3 linked regions of the Diceros bicornis minor genome follow. The protein of the gene in region 2 interacts with the protein of the main gene of each other region in a biochemical or structural test. Links are inferred from orthologs where the notes say so. Each region holds a gene or a part of one and is shown on either strand. Other genes may lie near its edges.

What was found.
Region 1: of the proteins of CCND1 (region 2) and CRYAB, one has a biochemical effect on the other in vitro, tested with the Homo sapiens proteins (2 studies listed by BioGRID, with this or other methods). The link is inferred for Diceros bicornis minor from reciprocal best matches to the Homo sapiens genes CCND1 and CRYAB.
Region 3: the proteins of CCND1 (region 2) and CDK6 form a complex in vitro, tested with the Homo sapiens proteins (3 studies listed by BioGRID and IntAct, with this or other methods). The link is inferred for Diceros bicornis minor from reciprocal best matches to the Homo sapiens genes CCND1 and CDK6.

Annotation. Positions count from the first base shown.
Region 1 is NC_080746.1:24,341,776-24,349,157, forward strand, and holds the start of CRYAB (alpha-crystallin B chain), read left to right. Parts: upstream 1-4,356; 5' UTR 4,357-4,617; coding exon 4,618-4,818; intron 4,819-5,915; coding exon 5,916-6,038; intron 6,039-7,313; coding exon 7,314-7,382. Other genes in the region: HSPB2 (heat shock protein beta-2), read right to left, coding at 2,499-2,953, 3,447-3,540. UniProt on the Homo sapiens protein: May contribute to the transparency and refractive index of the lens. Has chaperone-like activity, preventing aggregation of various proteins under a wide range of stress conditions.
Region 2 is NC_080770.1:4,497,152-4,504,257, reverse strand, and holds the start of CCND1 (G1/S-specific cyclin-D1), read left to right. Parts: upstream 1-4,034; 5' UTR 4,035-4,197; coding exon 4,198-4,395; intron 4,396-5,949; coding exon 5,950-6,165; intron 6,166-6,706; coding exon 6,707-6,866; intron 6,867-7,106. UniProt on the Homo sapiens protein: Regulatory component of the cyclin D1-CDK4 (DC) complex that phosphorylates and inhibits members of the retinoblastoma (RB) protein family including RB1 and regulates the cell-cycle during G(1)/S transition.
Region 3 is NC_080742.1:30,259,366-30,266,779, reverse strand, and holds the start of CDK6 (cyclin-dependent kinase 6), read left to right. Parts: upstream 1-4,342; 5' UTR 4,343-4,439; intron 4,440-5,762; exon of another isoform or gene 5,763-5,929; intron 5,930-7,002; exon of another isoform or gene 7,003-7,139; intron 7,140-7,251; 5' UTR 7,252-7,414. UniProt on the Homo sapiens protein: Serine/threonine-protein kinase involved in the control of the cell cycle and differentiation; promotes G1/S transition. Phosphorylates pRB/RB1 and NPM1.

The sequences.
Region 1 (7,382 bases), on a different chromosome or scaffold from region 2:
TCCACAATCTGGTCCCTTTCCAGCCACTTTCTCTAATTTAAAGGAAAACACTTAAGAGATTTTATATGACCAGAAACTCCAAAGGAACCAATAGTGTGTTCTGGCAGCCAGAAAACCTGATACACCTAAAGCAATATTAATAGAAGTCTAGAGTGATAAACAAGGGTATTGATTATTCCACTGAAGTCTGTACCAGTCAGTCCACGACTCAAATAATAATTTTATGTCTACATGTTGAGTTTCAAGTTATGTTGTCAAAAGGCAGTGTGTTCAAGAGAAAGTTATCTGGGTGATAAGTAGGATGGAAAGTCCTATAAGATATGGTTAAAAGGACTAGGCATGTTTAGTTGGGAAAGGGAAGCCTTAGGAGGACAGAATGGTTATCTTTAAATATCTGAAGGACTCTTAAGTGAAAGAAGGATTGCTTTTATTTTCTGAACATAACCAGAACCAATGGGCAGAAGTTACTGAAATGCAGATTTTGGTTTAATAGAAGGAAGAATTTGTAACAGATATGTCCAAAAAGAAAATCAATTGGGCTACTTTATGAAGTTCTCAGTTCTCTGTCACTCAAAATGTCCCAAAAGAAGTTGACTAATAATCTTAAAAGAATTTAAATGGGATGGGGATTTGGACTAAATCAGAGGCCTCCATTTTTTTTCTAGCTAAGGAAACTTTTCTTTCCTTTTCTTTTTTTTTTTTGAGGAAGATTACCCCTACCATCTGTTGCCAATCCTCCTCTTTTTTGCTGAGGAAGATTGGCCCTGGGCTAACATCCGGGCCCACTCTTCCTCCACTTTATATGTGGGACACTGCCACAGCAGGGCTTGATAAGCTGTGCGTAGGTTCGCGCCCAGGGTTCCGAACCTGAGAACCCTGGGTCGCCAAAACGGAGCACGTGAACTTAACCGCTATGCTGCCAGGCCAGCCCCTGGGAATCTTTTCTTTTAAATAAAGCTCATGTGAAAATTCCAGTTACAAAACAGATCAATGTGATGCTGTTCGGGTTGAAGTCTGAGTAGGATCCTTTCTTTACTCTTTTTATTCTCAACTAGGTATTAAGATTCATGAGAGTAGACAATAAAAGACCATAATTTTAATAATTTATATTTACAATGTGCATCCCCCATAGTATATTACTTGGGGTTTGATAAATATTTGTTGAATGAATGAATGAACAAATGAATATATCAATAGTTACTTCTCTGAGGCATGCTATCATTTTTAATTGATGGCAATCCTTTAACCAAAAATTGAATTCTTCAAGTGAGGGTTCTTATCCTGGGGGTCCACAGATCTCTAAGAGGGGCATATGAATGGATCTCAAGAGCTGTATGAACCTATCTAAATTGTATACCAAATTTGGGAGCATGTGCATTTTTCTGGTAAGAGAATCCATAGCTTTTGTCAGATTTTCAAATGGGTCTGCAACCCAACAAAGTTAAGGATCAACCACTTTAATGGAAGAATTTCAGGTATCCACCACAGCCTGGTAAAAGATATATTTTGGGACAGGGAGGTCTTCTGGACACTCCTCAAATCATATACACACATGCTCTCTTGATTACAGAGAATAATTGAGGGCTCAGACCACTAGACTTTCCTGAACACATCATACCCCTAGTATTAAGACTACTTCCAAAGGAAGGTTCCCCGGCCATCACCACCACACCAATAGCCTTAGATCCCCTGCATTTAGTCTCAGATTGGGTGGGGTGATGCAGTGATTCCTCTTTGGGTTGTTCCAAGATTAGAAACAAATGCTTTCTTTTCATGGGCCTCCCCTGTGCAGAGGGTGGGGAGACTTTGGGGTTCCGTGACAATGGCAGAGGTTTCTGTGTGTGTGCCCCTGTGTATGCACACTTAGTCCCTCAGAATCAGAGACCATTTTCAGTGGACAGACCTTAATATGGGAAAACAGGGCTTTAGGCAACTCTCTCCAGCCAAAACCTATTTTCCCAACCCCTATCCAAAACAGGCCAGACAGTCTGGAGACCCTTGTTTTTGTGTCTCTAATCACCAGCTCAGACAGTGCCCTCTGGGCTGTTTGGATGGCATATCCCTTTTCCCTCCCAGGATCACTCTCTCTTTTGTTGCATTGTGAGAAAATTATGGCTAGGAATTTGATGGGGAGCCAGTGTCAGCTTCCGGGTGTGATCTCAGCATGCAAGTGTGAGCTCAGGGTGCTGTGACGTTGGGCACATCTAACTGAGGAGATTTTGTCTAGCTGGCTATTGACCTCCTCTCCCCCTGCCCATCCCATCCTCCAGGCCACAGAATAGGGAGCAGCACAAACAAGGCCCTGAGATTTGGGTTTATTAAGCTCCACCCAGAACTAAACCAAAGGCTACCACATGTCCCAAGGGACCAAACCATACATTGTGGACCATGCACTTTTCCCTTTCCCCAAGGATGCTGCTACCTCTGGGGTGGTGGGCAGCTGCTTGTATCACGGCAGTAGATAGAAAGGAATTCGCAGGGTGCTAGGTCTGTGGCACTCAGGGCTCAACTCTGGCTGCCTCCTCCTCTTCCTCCGGATCAGGAGGCGCAGGGAGCAGGGAGATGTAGACCTCATTGACCTCTGTGTCCAAATGTCGGCCACCCCGAGGCGCCTCCAGGTTAAGGATGCCATCATGGGAGAGAGCAGCGCGGACCCGCCAGGGGTCGACATCAGCAGGCAGGACGTAGGTGCGGCAGAACTCTCGCGACACGAAGCCGTGGCGGTCCAGGCGCTGGGGGTGCCGGGCAGACACCTCCAGCAGGTTGTCCACAGTCCTCACAGTCACCTCATCTGGGGTAAAGTGGCTCACATCCAGAAATGCCTGGAACTTGCCCTCACTGAGCCTGAGCTCGGAAGCCCCTGCCCTGCTGCCCTCCCCAGCTTGGGCAGCCCGAGGCCGGACATAGTAGCCATGGTAGAGGGTGGGGGTCAGGATTTCTTCTGGCAGGAGGCCTGAGGGGCAGAGAGAGAGAAGGCAAGAGGCAGGATAAGGGAGCGTGAAGGGGGAACAGGGGTGAAATGAGAGGAGATCAGGAGGTGAGGACTGGGGAGAGCAGGAGGGGAGTCAGGAGAAGCAGGGAAGGGGAGGCAGGGGGACACAGCGGCTAGGAGGCAGCTGGGGAGAGGGGATTGAGAAAGGAACCGAGGTGGGGGTGGAGGAGAGCAAACCAAACCGGGACTGGGTGGACCGAAGGGGAACAAGGCACGCTAGGGGCGGCAGGGGGCAGGTCTCAAAGCATTGTGGGCTCCAAGTCTGCACTGAGGTCAGTAGGAAGGGGAAAGAGCTCTGCTTGGAGGGGGGCAAGGGGGAGTCTGGTGCGGGAGATGGCTTGCCCCAGTAGTTCAGTTAAGCCCAGAGTGGGGTGGAGGCCAGTACCGTTGGGAGGTCAGCCCAGAATTTCAGGAGGTGGGGGTGGGAGGCAAGGGGGTGGCGTCTGTGCCATACCTTCTCCGAAGCGCTGCTCACCCAGGCGGCTCGGGTTGGCAAATTCGTACTCAGCGGTGGCCGGGTGGGCATGTGGCACCGAGCGGCCCGACATGGCTGCAGACGCGTCGGCGGCCCTGGTCCGAGGTGCAGCCCCAGCGACGCAGCGGGACCCCTCCAGCTGCCTGGAGAGACAGGGCTCTCTTGGAGGTGGGGGCGGGGTCTACACCACCCAAAATAGTGCCGAGCCTCGGGAGGAGGGGCGGGGAGCCCGGGCCCTGAGTGCCAGCGACGAATGTGACCAGCAGCGCCTGGACCCCCGTTCCCTCCCCCCCGCACACCCTTCAGCTGTTGCAGGGGGCCTGAGAGGACAGCTGGGGGTCCTGGCTGGGGAGAGAGCTGCAGAGGGGAGGCTGGTGCCAGAGGCCCTGGAGAGGCTTAGCTGAGACCCTCACAGTTTGCACATTTTCCACACCACCTTTTCTCCTCTTCAGTGGCAGGCACTCTGCATCCTACTTCATAAAGCTCTCATGGATTTAATGTTCTGCGAGCCATGTAAGGTGAAAGATACAAGAATACTTTCTATCCTTTTTGGGGGTGTAGGATGAGGGGTCTTCCTGCCCAGATTAATGTCAGGGTCCTCTCCTGAACCCAGGTCAACCTAGGGTACTACACAGATGCATGGCACTGACATGTTGGTGATCACTGCTCTCCTCTAGGAACCCACAAAGAGTTAATGTCCCTGGGGCCCAGCCTAGGAAGATTCCAGTCCCTGCCCAGGCCCAAGATAGTCGCTGGCTGGGTTCCTCTGGCATGCTAGGCTGGAGAGGAGGAGGAGGGGCACACTGCTGCCTGTTTGGGATTCCTGACTTTGTCCCAACTCCAGAGAAGGGGGGTGGCAAGGGGCCATTGGGTGTGGACAGAAGGCTAGTGAAACAAGACCAGGACAAGTCACTGGCCAGCTCAGACGTGTTTGTATTTCTCTTTTCTTAGCTCAGTGAGTACTGGGTATGTGTCACACTGCCAAATCCCGAATCACAAGTCTCCATGAACGGGCGGTGAGCTGGGATAATAAAACCCCTGACATCACCATTCCAGAAGCTTCACAAGACTGCGTATATAAAGGGGCTGGCTGTAGCTGCAGCTGAAGGAGCTGACCAGCCAGCTGACCCCCCACATTCACCCAGCCACCATGGACGTCGCCATTCACCACCCGTGGATCCGCCGCCCCTTCTTTCCTTTCCCCTCTCCCAGCCGCCTCTTTGACCAGTTCTTCGGAGAGCACCTGTTGGAGTCTGATCTCTTCCCCACTTCTACTTCCTTGAGTCCCTTCTACCTTCGGCTGCCCTCGTTCCTGCGGGCACCCAGCTGGATTGACACTGGGCTCTCAGAGGTAAGTCTCCCCTCTGCCAGGACAGGAGAGTTCTTCCTGGAACCTCCTGGAAACATCTCCATCTGCTCTCCTTTTCCTCCCTGCCTAAATCTGGCTATGTCTAAGGGTCTTAGGCACTTGTGCGTCCAGCAGTGAAGAAAGATAAAGTTACTAACGCCTCCCTCCCCCAGTCACCTGTTTGTATTTGATGTTCCTCTGTATCCTACTTATTGCGTTTTTCCCATGCGCGATGAAGATCATCCTCCATCTCCTAAGTGCGATACTCCTTTCTGGTTTGGTTCATAATGATCTCAGGGAAAGACCTGCCTTCAGACTCATTTGCTCACCTCTTCTGATACCTCATACTCCTGATGAATTTTATTATCTGAAGTTTCAGAGCCAGGAGACAGTCTTAGCTCATCCTGAGCTTTTCATCCCCACTGCGTGGAGCTGGAGACAGCAACCACTATTTTCATCCTTTCTATTCCCTCTTCTGTGATTTTCCGGGTTTCTCAGGGCTGACAGGGCACTGGCCTGGGTCCAAGCCTAAGGAGGAAAGAATGTAGGTCCAGTCTTGGGACCCCCACTTGTCCTAAGAGGGTGGGAGAATGGGGTGAACAGATAAGGTTGACAGAAGCTATCATAGATAACACTCTAGTTTAAAAATATTCAAGTGTGAGTAAACAGGAGCTAAGTAGGCAAGGGCTTTGGAAGGACAAATCAGGGCCAGCAGAACATTCCAGATTGACTGGGTGGGAAACTTGGCAGAAACCTGAGCAAGAAGAAGGGGCCTTTGTCTTACAGACAAATGACAAGGCTGGGCATTGGGGTGGGAGAGGCAGCAGAAGCCATGCCCAGACCCATCCTTGTGATTGGTCCCCTGGGTGGCCTGTCATCTTCCCTGTCCCTGTAAACAAAGTTTGGGCCTTGGGTACCACTGTGGTGGCTCCCTTGAACCAGAGAGCTGTGTTTATTCAAAAAGGGATTTTTAGCCGAAAAGAGGAGGATAAACCTCCTGGACAGAAAGCAAGTCTGCAGAACGATGAGACTGCACTAGTGTAATCTACATTCCTTCCATCTTTTCTCCTACTCCCTCCTCTCCACCTTGCTATTTGTAGATGCGTCTGGAGAAGGACAGATTCTCTGTCAACCTGGATGTGAAGCACTTCTCCCCAGAGGAACTCAAGGTCAAGGTGCTGGGAGATACGATTGAGGTGCACGGGAAACATGAAGAGCGCCAGGTGTGTAGATTGTTTTCTCTTCTGCTCATTCATTCAGTGCATACTGTATAGCAGACACTGCCATCAGCCTCTGAGGCCGGCAACATGCCCATCCTAAGCCATAGGGTCTGGAACCGGGATAGACCTGTTGTTGTTGTTTTGGCCAGAGAAGTGATCTTTGTTGTTTTGATTTGATTGCTTTAGATAGGGTAGATGGGATGTTAACTTCCCATTTAAGCCAGTGGTTCTCAGCTTGGCCACTTCAGAATCACCAGGGGAATTTAAAAAAAAATCCCAATGCTCAAGCATATTCCAGACCAATTAAATCAGAGTTTTTAGGGGTAGGACCCAGGCATCAGCATTTTAAAAATCTCTCTAGGTAATTCTAATGTACAGTCTAGGTTGAGGACCATGGATTTAGGCATAGTGCTTGTCGGACACCTGGTTGCTTTACATAATTATGTTAATTGCATGCACCCTGAAGGCCCTTGAATTTGGGACTTTTCTTTTAGATGTTCAGGAATCCTCTTCTCCTTAGCCCCTCTTAATGCTGAACTACTTGGTTTGCCTAAGTTTCAGAACCGTACTCAGCTCCTAATACACCAGAGCCCATGTGGAAATCAGTTAACTGAGAGCCTGTCTGGATAAATGCTTGAGATTCAGCAGGTGTAAGGGTAGGAGTCAACTATCCTTCAGCAGAATTCTGAAGAATGGCACAGCTTCTCATTATTTTCTGAGAGCGTTTTTTAATGAGTTTGCTTCTTACCAATCAGTGGTAACTCGAATCTTGTGCATCAAACAGTACAGTTTGAGGTCCTCAGGCTGTTTGTTCGCTCAAATGATTCAAGTTTGGGTCATAGTCTCCCTGGATGGAGTCTTATTTTTTAACTTTTTCTAGCAGCAGTCCTCTTGGTCTGGAACATTCTAAGACATTCCTGGAGAGTCAGAACAATTTCCTCAGGGACTCAGATCATCAATGCCAGATGATATTCCAAATCCTGTAGACCCAACAAACATTTATCTGAACCTTTAGAAAATACCCCTCAACATTTCCATGCCTCAGGATTTGGACAGCTGTGAAGTTTTGGCTGTTTCAGACTTCCCAGACTCTCATCGGTAGGAGTGACCACCTAGGCAACTTCATCTTAGCCCCAAACAGAACAGCTATTTAGCTTTCTCTCATGTTGCCATGACCTTTGGTGACACCTAAGGGGAAGGAGGATGTGTTGGTTCTAGGCAAGTGGTGCTATTTCCTGTTCTTATCTCTCTGCCTCTTTCCTCGTTCTCTTGGATTAGGATGAACACGGTTTCATCTCCCGAGAGTTCCACAGGAAATACCGGATCCCAGCTGATGTGGACCCTCTC
Region 2 (7,106 bases):
GCCCCCGACCGTCCCTCCACCCACCCCCAGGGCCAAGACGAAGGATGGAAATGTTTTGGGGCATTTCAAGGGCACAAAGAAGCAGGCTGGAAGGCACGAGGTTGCGGGGCCTCCCCGCAGACAGTCCCCGGGAAAGGGCAGGGATGGGGGGGCGAGTGACAAGTCCTGGAGGCGAGGGATGGGGCGTCGAGCCCTTCCCGGGCGGGGCGGCGGCGCCGCCGGAGACGAGGGTCTTAGCGCGGGCCCGCCCCCGGGAAGGTCCGGCTCCCGAGAGCCGCCGCCGCCGGTTTCCGAGGCCCCGCGAGTCTCCCCAGCAGCGCCCTGCGCCCTCGTCCGGGGCGGGAGTCTGCTCGCCTCGGGCAGGCCGCGGCCCTGCTTGGCCACGGGAGACGCGGGAGGGACAAGGCCTCTTAGGTCATTACCCCCACCTCCCGTCCGATTTCTTTGCCTTGGTTGGAGGTGGTTATTTTCTCAATCTGGGCGCCCACTCCACGACACTCGGCCAGGGGCCTGAGCCAAGAGGCCATGGAATTCCTAGTAGACTTTGGGGTTTCCTATTGCTTCGGGCACCAGGCGATGCGTTTTGAGGGCCGGAGGTCAAGGAGTTAGAATCTTCTTTCGCCCCCAAGTGTGCACCTTTTCCCTTGGGATCCCAGAGGCGTTGGGAGTCAGCCTCCCCCCCCCCCCCACGTTGGGGTTTGGTTTTTAACTCCAGCACACACCTCGCCCACCGCCTTCAGAGGTGGGGGAGGGGTGTCCCGGCCCCGCAGCCTGCCCGACCCAGGACGGGGGCACGCGAAAGAGGGGTAATCTGTGTGTGCCTGAAATTAACTGATCAGAGGCGGAAACGCACGTCCGTGGCTTGGGGCGGTGGGAGGTGCGGCTGCCCCCGTTCCCAGCGTGTGACTGTCCCGGGTGGGCGCCTGGGCCAGAGTTCGCCCCAGCGCGTCCCGCAGCTTTGGGGCGCGGGGGATCGGCACCGCGTAGCCCAGGAGCTACCGCAGCACGTGGACCGCCATGCGTGCCCCCAAAGCGAGAAGCGTGGGGGAAGGGGAGCCCAAGCGCCCCGGAACCCCGCGGCCCACATTCGGAAGCGTTTTCCAGGGCTACTTAAGGGCTTAACAATGGAAAACTCGCGGAGCCGGAGCCAAGTCCTTTCAAGTCGCCGCCAGGTATGCGGCTGCAGGTGACCCCACCTTGCTGCGCCCGCCCGCCCGCCGCCCCGGTCCTCTGGGGAGAGGGCGGGTGTCAGAGGTCAACGTTGGTGGAAGGTCTCCACTGGGGTCTGCAACCCCTTCCCAAAGCCCCTCACTGGGCAGCGCGCAGCCGCGGTGCGTCCCGGAGTCGGCGCCGCGGCGCGCTGGTTCCTGAATGAACGCACTCCCTTCCCCCGCCTTGAATGAAGATTCCCACAGCCAGGGACGGTGGCAAACGCGCCTGCCGCGGAATTCGCCCTCTCCGGGTGGACGATCCGCCCCGGCCGTGGTCGCCCCAGTGGGGGGCCGGGGGGCGAGGAAAGTGGGAAGGTGATTTAAGTTACTTTTGGATTTTCTTTCCAATCAAAGTGGTTTCCCTCCCGACTGTGCCACCAGCCTTTTGTCTCCAAATGGTCACCAAGAAATAAGCGCAGAGCCCAGAATTCGCAGTTCCCGCTTCTTGGTGGGTTTTTAAAGGCAGTGAAAAATTAAAACTGCAACAGAAAACTTTTTAAAAATTGCTTTTCTCTGGGAAAAAAAAATTAAAATCAAAATTTTTATTTTGTCTCCTAGAAGCAATCGCCCTCCAGGGCCCGGGGCTGTTGGCCCCCTCGGGGGCTCCGGGACACGCAGATCGGGGCTCCCCGGGGTGGGGGCTGGGCGGCTGGAGCTCCCTGCCCGGCTCCAAATTCCAGCGCCTCCCCCGCGGGTTCCTGGACGGCTCTTCACGCTCGCCGGCTGGGCTTGCACTTTTGCGCCCGTCCCTGAGCGGGGAAATCAACGAAGTTCCTCGTCGAGATCTGCCCGGTCCGCCTAGTAACAGCGCCGCGCCCCCATTGGCTCATGCTAATTCCAGTTTCCTCTGTCTTTCTCCCGGGTTGGGGGGAAGCTCCCTCCTGGACCTGGAGCCCCTTTTGCCGGAGTGGGCGAGCCTCCTTATGCCCCGCTGCCCCTCGCTGTCGCCCGCCCGCCTCGGGCAGGGCCGGGGCGCACGCGAGGCTCGGGCCCCCACGCCCCCCGGGACGGGAGTCGCCAGGCGAGAGCGCGCGGCCCCATAAATCATCGGGGCGGCCGCCCGGTCGGGATTTTATGAATGAAAAAGCAGTCGGCAGCCCTCGTGCGCGGGCTGATGCTCCGAGGCTCCGCCGTGCCCCCGGGCCGGCGTGAGCGTGGGTGCCCGGGGAGGGGGACACGGCGGGGGGCGCTCCCTGTTCGGGCCACCCACCACTTCGGAGGCGTGAGCCGGGGGTAATTACCCTCCCGGACCCTGAATATTAGTAACCCTAATTCCCGGCGGGGGAGGGGGCGCAGGAACAATCAGCCCCGAAAGGGCGGAGAGTCTTATCTTGCTGCGTGCGCCCTTGTGAAGGGGAGGGGGCTTTTTTATCCGTTTTCTTTGCGTCTTTACTGTTAGGGGATCCGGTGGTTTGATGACACTAAACTGTATTCAGAGGGAAGTAAATGAACAGTTTTCTTAATTTGGGGCAGGTAGTGTAAAAACTGTAAAAAAAAATGTTAAGACTGGGTAAAATGTCTTTTTATTAAAAAAAATGCACCAAGAAGAATCTTTGATTAAAAAAACACTTTATTCTTTTGTATGTCTCTGAAGGTTGCGATAATATTGGGGACCCTCTCATAAAACCACGAACATATATAGATTTTGTTTAAAATTATCAGATCAACACACCCATTTCTTTAACTTAATAATTGTCCTACTTTTTGCAAGCTCCTGCCATCCCCTTCAAGCTCACGAATGCAGCCCCAGGGCAAATTCTAAAGGTGATAAGGTGTCCACACCCCTAACAAAACCAATTAGGACGCTTCCGGTGGTCTTCTCCCAGGCAGAGAGGCGACTAATAGTTCCAGCGATTTAATTTATTCTTTAATTAAAAAGTGAGACAAGACAGAGACCCGTTTTGCAGCCTTCCATTCAGTGGTGTTTTTCCAGCTGTTAAATTGGCGGGACGTGGTGGGGGGGGCATTTGGAGACCCCCGCAAGGATGGACTGCCTAAGGTGGGAAGACAGCCCGGAGATCCCCCCGGCGAGGAGGACAGGATGAAGGAAATGCTGGCCACCATCTTGGGCTGCTGCTGGAATTTTCGGGCATTTATTTTATTTTATTTTTTGCGCTAGCGCATGCTAGGTTGAAATCCCTTTAACGTTTAGGGTTACCCCCTGGGCATTTGCAACGACCCCCCTGTGCGCCGGAATGAAGCCTCCACCGGGAGTGTGGGCTCTGCCCTACGTCCCTGAGCGTTAAATGGTTCCTGAAATTTACACGTGTTAATGAAAATGAAGATGTAAACGCTGAGATTCCTTGGCGGCCTCTTCGCCCGTGGGTGCCCTCGTGGCGTTCTCGGAAATGCGCCCATTCTCCCGGCTCGGATATAGGGTGTCGCCGAGCCCCAGAGTCCCCCCTCCATGCGGTCTCCCCGGCTGCGTGTGGCCTGCCCGCCCTCCTAGTTGTCCCTCTCTGCAGAGCCACCTCCACCCCACCCTCAAAATCCCAGGGGACCCACTCGGGGAGGACAGACCCCCCTGCACCCCTCTTCCCCAGCGGGGAGAAAGGCAGCCATGGGGCGATTTGCATTTCTATGAAAACCGGGCTTCGGGGGCAACTCCGCCGCGGGGCAGGCGCGGCGCCTCCGGGATGGCTTTTGGGCTCTGCCCCTCGCCGCTCCCCAGCGCTCGGCGCCCGCGCCCCCTCCCCCTGCGCCCGCCCCCGCCCCCCCCACCCCCGCTCCCATTCTCTGCCCGGCTTTGATCTCTGCTTAACAACAGTAACGTCACACGGACTACAGGGGAGTTTTGTTGGAAGTTGCAAAGTCCTGGAGCCTCCAGAGGGCTGTCGGCGCAGTAGCAGCGAGCAGCAGCGTCCGCGCGCTCCGGCGAGGGGCAGAAGAGCTCGAGGGAGCGCGGGGCAGCAGGAGCGAGAGCCGAGCCCAGACCGAGCCCCGGGGACCCACCGCCCGCCCCAGGCCACCCAGCAGAGCCCCAGCCATGGCACACCAGCTCCTGTGCTGCGAGGGGGAGACCATCCGCCGGGCGTACCCCGATGCCAACCTCCTCAACGACCGGGTGCTGCGGGCCATGCTCAAGGCGGAGGAGACCTGCGCGCCCTCGGTGTCCTACTTCAAGTGTGTGCAGAAGGAGATCCTGCCGTCCATGCGGAAGATCGTGGCCACATGGATGCTGGAGGTGCGGGGCTTCGGCGGTTCTCTTGAGACTTTCCTGCAACTTGTTGCTCAGACCCACATTTCTTTGCCACTCGTCTCCCTCCCTTCTCTCTCACCCCAACTTTGAAGTTTGCGGGACTGTTGCTAGGAGTCGTATTTTCAAAATACATAGATATTGTGGGTGTTTTTTGCACGAGGAGGGGGTGGGGGAATTAGAAATACTCTTTCCTGGGGGGGGCGGGGAGCGGTCGGGGAGGGGTGCCTTCGGGGAAAGCCCGTGCCAGGGGCACCCCAATTGACTCGAGGGTGCGGGCCAGCAGGCTGGGCGCCCCTTATGGTCCCCTCCTGGGCCGCCACCGCGCACCCCCGCCTGCGCCCGTGCCCGGCTGTGCCTCCTCTCCCGGCCGCGCGGCCACTGAGCCGCCAGCTCCAGGGGGAGGGGGCATAGATTTGATTTTTAAATTAATACCCATGGACACGTATGCAAGGGCCGCTCGTGCCAGTATTATGCGCCATCTTTGTTCTTTTATTGCAAAGCAAAAGTGTTTATTAATAATTGGGGGCAGGGTGGGGGCGGGGAGCGGCCGGCGAGGCGCTGGGGCCGCCGCGAGGGGCCGCGCGGCCGCCGGGAGGGGCGCGGGGACAGAGCGCGGGCAGTTTTGGGGGGACCCCGCTCGGGAAGGGGGGCCCCTTTGTTCAAGCACCGAGTCCCGGGGCGCCCCGCACTGCCAGCCTGGGCCGGAGAGCACGCCGGGCTGCAAGGTCGCGTGGCCCCCAGGAGGCTAGGGACTGACCCTTGTCTGCAGGGGTCTCAGCTTGGGGGACCTGTGTGGAGCGAGCCGGGGGCCCGGGTCACATTTTCAGGCTTTCAGTGGGTGCCTGGGGCGCCCGCAAGTATTTTAAAATAATTTTTGAAAGTGCGGCGTGGTGCCCTTGCGAGAGGGAAGCGGCGCCCGCGCCCAAGGGGAGGGGGGGGGGCCGAGTTTTAATTCCTGGGGCTCTCCCCCGAGCCTGCAACGAGCTCCCGACCCCCGGACTGGGTAAAGGGCCGTCCGAGGGTCATTTTCATGGGTTTTTTATGTACTCAAATAATTTTTTTATATTTTTAAATATTTTTTGAAAAGATGACGTCTGGGGAAATGCGGCGCGGCGGCCTGGGACGCCACCTTTGTGTCTCGCAGGCGCAGCGAGCGCGGCGCCCGGCCCCGCGGTCCGCCCCGCGGCCCCGCACCCCGTTTCGTGCCGACCCCCGGCCAGGCGGGCCCCGGAGCCCCCACGCGGGCCGGGGTCTCGGGGGCTGGCAGCCCGCGCGCGGCGCATGCCGCCCAGCCGTGCCCGCTCCCGCCCCCGCCGTGCCAGCCTCGCGGGGACTTTCCCTTTCAGTTTCAGGGTGGGTGGGTATTGGGGACACCCGGGGGAGGGGGCGCGTCCCCGGAAGCGTCTGCGGCCCCCTGCCGCGACCCTCGGCGCGCTCGGGGCCCCGCGGGCCGGCGCGCGCGGGGTGGGGGGCGCGGGGTCTCCGCGGAGGGGGCCCGGCGCGCGCGCGGCGGCGGTCACGGCCCCGGTGCCCCGGCAGGTCTGCGAGGAGCAGAAGTGCGAGGAGGAGGTCTTCCCGCTGGCCATGAACTACCTGGACCGCTTCCTGTCGCTGGAGCCCGTGAAGAAGAGCCGCCTGCAGCTGCTGGGGGCTACCTGCATGTTCGTGGCCTCCAAGATGAAGGAGACCATCCCCCTGACGGCCGAGAAGCTGTGCATCTACACTGACAACTCCATCCGGCCCGACGAGCTGCTGGTAACCCCGCGACCCCCGCCGCCCACCGACGCCCCAGTAGCCGCGGGACCCCGGGGGTGGGGGAGGTGCAGAGGTGGGGGGCCCCGGCCGGCTGCTGACAGACCCTGGGCCCCGAGGGCGGGCGGCCACACTGCTTGGGGGCCCCCGCCTCGAGGAGCCGGCGCGACCCCCGGCGCCCCCCGTCCCCGCCGCCGTCCCCGCCGCCCCACCTCGCACTTTCGCTCGGACTCCCACCGCGTCTGCGCCCCGGACGCGCCCGAAAAGTGGGCGGCGCGCGCCCTCTAGCGGCGGCAGCGCGTTTACGACCGGGCGGCGTGTCCCGGGTGTGGGAGGTCTTTTTTGTGTCCACTTGGGAACAGGCGGCTTAACCGTGAGCAGGAGCGTTTGCCGGCGGCACCTTCTCTTTTTTGACCTGGGATCGCGTGTTGTCCCCCTCTTCCTGGAGCCCGACATCCCCCATCCCTTCTCTCCAGGCCCCTGTCCCCCCGCCCCCGCGGCTGCCCTGCGCGCCTCTTTATGCTCGTCCACCCCGTTTCCACAGCAAATGGAGCTGCTCCTGGTGAACAAGCTGAAATGGAACCTGGCAGCCATGACCCCGCACGATTTCATCGAGCACTTCCTCTCCAAAATGCCGGTGGCGGAGGACAACCAACAGATCATCCGCAAGCACGCGCAGACCTTCGTCGCCCTCTGCGCCACAGGTAGGGCGGCTGGCCTGCTGCCCCGGCCTCCCTGGGGGTCCCCCGGCGGAGCTTCCTGCCCTCTGACTCAGTTTCCCCATCTGATGCTCCCCCGGCCCCGCCTGCCCTGGGAAGCGCTCCTCCGTCTCTGTTCTGTTGAGCAGAGGGCTTGGGCGGTTTGTGCTGGATGGAGGGGTGCTGCCCCCCGGGGGCGGGCGGCTACCATGCAGTGCCTTCGCGATGGCGGTGGTAGGCCGGCCT
Region 3 (7,414 bases), on a different chromosome or scaffold from region 2:
ACGAGTAAACTTGAACAAATTTGTAGTAGGGTTTAAAAATTGGACCCTCTCTTCAATTTATGGTAAAATGTTTGATCCACAGAGCTATGCTATTATGTCCTTGCCTCCAGACATTCAAAGAATTCTGTAAAGAATTCCGTTCTATATTATTTTCACGAAAAATCCACAATGAGACACGATATAGTTGCATAAATATGGACTCATACATTATACAATTTCATTTAATAAGACGGATTTCATTGCATGCCATTCATTCTGAAAGAATCAGGTTGCCTGGATATGCCATACCTAGAGCATCGAGGCTACATCTCTTGGCCTCAGGACCTAGGCAGGTACTTCCGTCACTCGCCCCTGCTGCCAGGCCATTCACAGAAGTTTCTCCCAGGTGCCTTTCTTTGTCCTTCTCCTACCTCCCAGATCCCACTTGATCATCATTCACTCCCATTGTGTTGTACATTCACTGCTTCATCTGAATGGTCTATCTGAAACATGGACACACCTTTTAGTTCAACCAAAGGCAGCTATAGTAACACAATTGTTAGGCCATGTGTGCCGTTGAGATGCAAGTATCATCTCAGAAAAGAAATGTTAGAAGTCAGTGAAAATTACAGGACACTATAAATGGAAAGGAAATGTAGGTGTTTCAATGTGATTATTGCCATCTTTTGTAAGTGTATTTCCATAGTTATTTTTCTGATTACTCAGAATTTTAATATAGATGATGAAAAGATCTTAAGAACACGTTTCAAACATGTCAAAACAATATGCCAGGAACATACAGGTATTCACACACACACACACACACACACACACAAAGGAAAAAGAAGATAGGAGTGTCTATCAAAAGGAAAAAAAATAGAAAAGATGATGACAATTATACAAATATGAACATAGTACTGACATGTTGCACAGGAATAATTATAGAGCAGTAGAACCTGTGAAAACGGAATGTTCCAAAAGGTAACAATGTCTGGTTTTTTCTCCTTAAATTTTAGAAGCTACTACCTGATATATTTTTTTCCCTCATGGCAAATATCAAAATCTTTCCAAGTTTCACCGCTCAAATGCAATGCACTAGATCACAAACAACAACACAACACAACAACAAAAAGAGAAAAACCCAGGTCATTTCCAAAATGACAAGAAGTAATTTATTTAGAAGATTGAATTTTAAAAAATCATTTAAAGTTCAGAATTTTACAACTGAAAAAGTTGGTAGTACAATCGATTTTTCCTAGGATATTTAGCAAATTTTCAATATTATATTTTAAGGGAAAACCCAAGAAAACATCTTGGAAATGCCTGGGGAGAAAAATGCATTAAAATGCACTGCATTATATTATACTATTTCTGTTAAAATTATAGTTTTTCATAGTAAATTACTCAACAAAGATAACATTTACATACACATATAAATCAAGGTAAAGATGAGGGTAACTGTTTTCAAAATTATTAAACCAGAAAAGTTTTTTATCAAAACAATAAACAAGAGATCTTTAGAGACAAAAAGTATACATTTATATGGACCTCCAATTAAATTACTGTGTAGTAGATTATAGCAAAACTTTATTTCTGAGTTTCTGGAAAATGTATTCAAATAGCCAATATAAATCAGAAATGATTTAGAATTAGATGTACATTATATAACTACTAATTTTAAATAAATTACTCATGTCTTAAACAAAGTTATAAATTATAGACCAGAATTTTAAATTTTATTTTTATTTTAGTGAAAACAAAAATTTACAGATATTTGATATAAAATATTCACACAGAATACATCTCTTACGTGACACTAAGAAAACTTTCAGTATGAGCTACAACATCATATTTGGAGATAAATCCATGAGTTTTAATTTTTAAAAACCTGTAAGATGATTTGCAACTTTAGAACATCTGATATGTAGCATGAAAATACTGGTGCAAATCATTTTTCTTGAATGCTATGTATTCATTCATAGAAAACTCCTAAACAAAGGAGTCGGAATTTGGTTCACAGTTTATAAACTTTGCACAAATTTTGTTATGATAACCTGTTACCCATAGAGGAAGTTATCCATAAACAAAAACAATCTGGCATTTACTAATTTTACACGAGCCATTGTAAAACTTTCTAGTCTGAAGCTTTAGCCAATTGGGATTTATGTGAACCATAAACAGGGAGAGTGAACAATAATAAATTAACAATATTAGACAAAGCAGATGACATAAAAAGAGTTAACACTCAGTATTAACCTATATAATTAAATAAAGTTTCATTGTTTATTACATTGCCCAAGTGGTGTAGTAACCTAAGTCATGGAATTTCTAATCCACCTATGGTTGTTGTCAAATTCAGTAATGAAAAATGCAACCCATGGTAGAAAAGACATTTTTCTGTTAATTTAAAAGATACTTACAGCTTACTATTTTTTAAACAAATTATTTACTCAAATAAATTCTTGCAATCACTTGCTGGTTCCTACGACTATTTATTGACAATTATTTCTAAATTACATAAATGTGTTAATTACCAGAAAGTAAATCTTGTTTCAAAAAGCATTGATAAGTGTGAGCAATTATCAAAATGCAGAAGTCCCTTTTGTCTCTGGTTTAAAGTCTAATTAGTGACTTGTAGTGATCCAAATATTTTATATAAATACAAATCTAACAATTTGCTTTCTTAAGTCTATAAAGTATATGAGATTATAGATATCTTTAAAAATACAAATTTTGTTCAGAAATTGGATTTTATTTTAGAAGATATGCTCCTGAACACAAAATATGTGTCATGAATTACCTTAAGCATAAAGAAACACAATTATTCACTTTTAGCATTTGAGAAAAAATTATTATAATGCCTTGCAAAATATTTGCTAATGGAAATGCAACAATTTTTATTTACCTAACCTGTTACTTCATACTGTAGTATAGAATCAATTTTATAAAGGCAAATTTTTGATCTATTGTGAAATTAGCAAGATGATTTAATTCAAAAAGTCAAAAGATTTATAGAGGTAATCTTTCCAGCTCAAATAGAATTTTGCTGGGTTTTAATTTTTCCACATAGCATTGACATAAACTTATTTTAGCTTTGCTTCAAGATGTTTAAAAGGGTTTTAAGTATTCTACAGATACAGATTTTGGAGAACACTGAATTCTTTCCAGAAAAACAGCTAGTTTTTGTTTTACTCCATTGTAGAAAGTCTTGAAGACTTTTTTCCTCCAAAATCTTATTTTCACCTGAAATAATTGTATTTAGGTTTTCTCAGCAGGTAAAATATACATTCTTACAAGGTTTCAAATTTCAGAATTCCAATAATGCATTTAAACTGAGCACCCACCGAATCACGTTCTCTCCTCTTTGTGTGTGTGTGTCTATTATCTTGCAGTTCTGTTATTTACACTGAATTTTAGTTTTCTTAGCTCCCCAGAAATACCTTAGTGAATCCTCAGCAGTTGCTAACCACTTAATAACTGTGAACCGGCCAGCCCCTTCAAGTAGATCGTTAACCACAGAGTGCCTGACAATTTCCAAATCATATCCTCTTTCCAAAAGGAAAAGATAGGGCTTTGTGAGGCCGAAAGGAAGCGAAGGAAAACAAAACAAATGTAGCTCATGCTGAAAGTGAAAAGTGCTTGGACAGATTAGTATTTTCTTTTCTGCAAGGCATCTTGCCAATTTTTTTTTTTTTAATTGAGAAGAGTTATTTTTTGGTCTGATTTTTCAGTTTCTTGGAAAGTGTTGGTATTTACCATCCCCACCGGCCCCTCATAATTACGGTTGGTTGTTTTGTGTTTTTCCCATCCGTCCACATCACAGAATGCTGATACCCCCGCCTCACTCTGTCAAAACCCCAACTCCGGGCGACCCTGGGTTTGGAAACTCCACCGACTCCCGACGACACATCCCACTCTCTCTCTCACGCCTCTTATTTTAGTCGCAAGATCCCCCACTCCAGTTGCAGCGAAAGCCGGAAATTTTCATTTAACTCCCCTCTCCCCTCCTTCTCGCCCCCCACTCGGTGCCGAGAGCTGCGGAGCTGGGAGGTTCAGAGCCCAGCCGGGTCTCGGCCGCCTCCCCTCTCTCCGGAAGGTTTTAATTTGCACACTTGCTTGCCACTGCGCCGCGAGCCCCCAACACCGCCGCCGGTGGGTCTCGGGCAGCGTTGGCCTCCTGGGCCCCAGTCCCCCGCTCCCGCCCCCGCTGCCTCCCCGGCGCGGGCCCTGAGCCCCGGCAGGAGCCCCGCGGCCCCCGTCCGCCCCCAGCGAGCGGCGCGGGCGGCGCCCTCCGCCGTCCCTCCGCCCTCCGCCGCTGTGCCCACCCCCTCGCGGGAAAGAGTGCTGGTAACTCCTTCCTCCGAGCCGGGTTACCTGCTCCGCGCCGCCGTGGACACGTGCGGTGGTCGGCCCGACACACGCAGCCCCTTCGGGAGGCCGGACGTGGCCGGGCCCGTCAGGTGAGAAGCTGTGCACTCGGGTGGGTGGGCTGCGGGGTGGGGGGTCCCCGGGGAAGATTTGGGGGCTTGGCCAGGGTCGGAAGCGAGAGTGTGGGTGGGGGTGACTGTGGGGGCGGGTTGTATGTCCTCGGAATCGGCTTTGGTTAACCCCTTATGAACCGACGCAGGGTAGTTACGGGGGCCAGTTTTGGGGAGCTAAAGGAGTCTCTCCTAATCTGGCGAGAGGAGGATTTCCCACACTAGGGACACCCCCAACACTGAGATCCTGTGCCTGCTCCTGTATAGCCGTGCGCACAAACACCCCCACAAACACTCCTTATCCAGTTTCTTCAAACAATTTAAACTCCACTCGGACACTCACATAGTAATATGCGTTTAGGGTTTAAAATGCATTGCCTCTGGGGACTCCATGCGGAAGACTGTGTTTCCGTGCCCCATATTTATTTCCTCACGAAAGCTCCCTCTCCAGCTTGCTAGGTGTGGGCGTGGGCTCCACCTTCCCCACCACGAGATAAATGTTAACTCAGGCTTCCTGCTGGCAACCCCTGCGGGCGTGTTATGCACACTTAGAGGAGTGCACGCTGGCGGCTAGTGCCCACGCTTGGAGTCCCCCAAGGATGCATATTTGCTTTAGTTTCCCAGTTTACTTTTATAGTTTAAAATATCGGAGTTGAAATGCACACCCCGCGGTGAGCAGCTCCGGACCCCGCAGGGCGCCCGTCAGTGTGCACGTGGGCGCATCTGCGTGTGCGCATAAGCGGGAGTCGTGGTCCTGGTGCGGCCTCTTGTCGCTGCGCTGGTGGCGACCCTTGCGGTGCTTGGCAGGCTTCGGGAGAGGCACATGAAGGATTTCATTGAGTGTGAAGACAGAGAGCAGAGACAGAAAGCAGAAGGAGGCGGCTGCAGCCTTTGTAGTCGCGGAGGAATGCGGAAATGTTGAAGCACTATGTCAAACTTTTTTGAAATGGGGTCAAGTCACATTCAGCCAGCGTGGGAAAGCAACAACAACAACAAAAAAAAGTGGAGGAGAGGGGGGGAAAAGGCACTGCTGCTCCCGTTTCTCTGCGCCGGAGCCGACCGTCGGGGGAGCGAGGGGGGAGAGCCAGGGCGGGCGGTGCGGGGCCCGGCGGGGGTAGCGGGCGCAGTTCCCCGCGGGGGTGGGACGTCCGCAACGCTGCCTTCGCTGCAGAGCCTCGGGCTGGACTGGGGCGGGAGGAGGGGACGCGAGAGGGGCGGGCTGCGCAGCCGGCGGCGGCTTCTCCGCTACCTGTGTGGCCCTCGGCCTGGCTCAGACCCCCGTGCAGGCTCTGGGGGGCTCGCTCCTCGGCTCCCCCAGGATTCGCTTTCACCTTTTAGGGAGAGTTTTGAACGGAGTGAGTGTGAGGGGCTCTGTCCTCGCTGCAGTCCCCTCCGCCCGCACGCCGTGGGGGTCGCGCCATTTGTTTCTTTAATTCCTGGCAGAAGGCGAGCGGGCAGCAGTTGCGGGGCAGGTAATTCCGAGGTGCCCTGGGAATTGGGGACACGCGGCTGGCGTGGCGAATGTCCCGCCGAGGCCGCGGCGGCTGTGGGTTGGAGGTTGCCTAGTTCCTGGATTGCAAATGAATGGGGAGGGAAAGTGTCCCCTCGGCCCCGCACTTTGTTGTGCGGAGGGCTCCGGGGGGCGACTAGCTGCAGACGAGACCAGGCCTTAAGCCGAAAGAGGAATGGAGCAGCCGCTTCTGCTGCCTACATCGGAGACGATCCTGGGAGTGGGGAAAGGTTCGCGAGTCCTGGCCCCAAGGGCTCAGCCTCTTCTCTCTCACCTCCGGAGGCTCAGCCTTTACTCCCCCCAGCCCCCATCCTTTTTAAGGGGAGGCTGAGTTTTGCTCGGGTTGAAATCAGTTGAAAATTTCAGGACGAGTCACGGTTATGCTACCTTCCTCCTGAAGTTATTCTTTAAGGAGGCGACAAGCTAAAGTGTGGCGAACACCCCTTTCTCCCACCCTTAGGATCCCGTGGGCGACGCCCCCCGTCCAGGCCCCCATCACTCACCCTCCTCTGAGTAGCGGGAGCCCCAGCCCTCCCCGACCTGAAGAGTTTCCACCAGGGAGGTCCTCCGAGTCGGAGGAATTCCGTTTCCAACCCAGACTTCTTTACCCCCAAAAGACCACTTGTGTGTGCAAGTCGTTTTTAAATGTCTTCTCACAGAAAAACTGAAAGTAGAAAGAAAGGAAGCAATTTCCGAGCAGATGTCTGACCACCCCTTCTCGCACACTCCCAGCATCGGGTTACAGGGTCCTGGGAGCCCCCACCCACATTCTGCGGCCCCACACGGGTGGACCCACAGTCCCTCCACAGCAGCTTGTGCACAACGCCTGAACACCCCCATGGCACCCCAGGAGCCCCTCTCCCTGCACGTCCAGGCCCGGGGAGGCCGGGAGCGTAGCAGCGCAACACAATGATATAGGGATAAATATTAAGCAGTGACATTGACGTGCCCGGCGCCTCCCCTCCCCCGCGCTCCCGGCACACTCTGGGCTGCTCGGCACGCCCCCTCCCGTTCCACTGCGTCCCGCGCCGCGCGCTCATCCCGGAGGGGCCCTTGCAACCTCTCCGCGCGAAGACCGCTCCAGCCCTGCAGGGAAAGAAAAGTAACTTCGCTTTTCTCGGAGGAACCAGGAAGGATTAAGCGGCCTGGGAGAGGGCAGGAGCGCGCGGAGGGTAGCGATGGGGGCTTCCTGAAGGAGGAGGAGGGGAGTCTGCGGGAACCCTGAGGAAGGCGCCTGGGATGTCTGATTGCACTTTCTTCTTGTCCTCCCGTCTCCTCTTTTAGGTGGAATGATTGTGGACTGAGACGCACTCGGGCAGAGACTATGTAATCGCCTTGGTGTCTGTGCAGAGGACTGCGCTTCGGGGAGGGAAGAGGAGGGATCGGCTCGCTCCTCGGCGACTCGGCAGGCGGAGTTTCGCAGCGGCACCAGGGTTGCGCCCGCCCG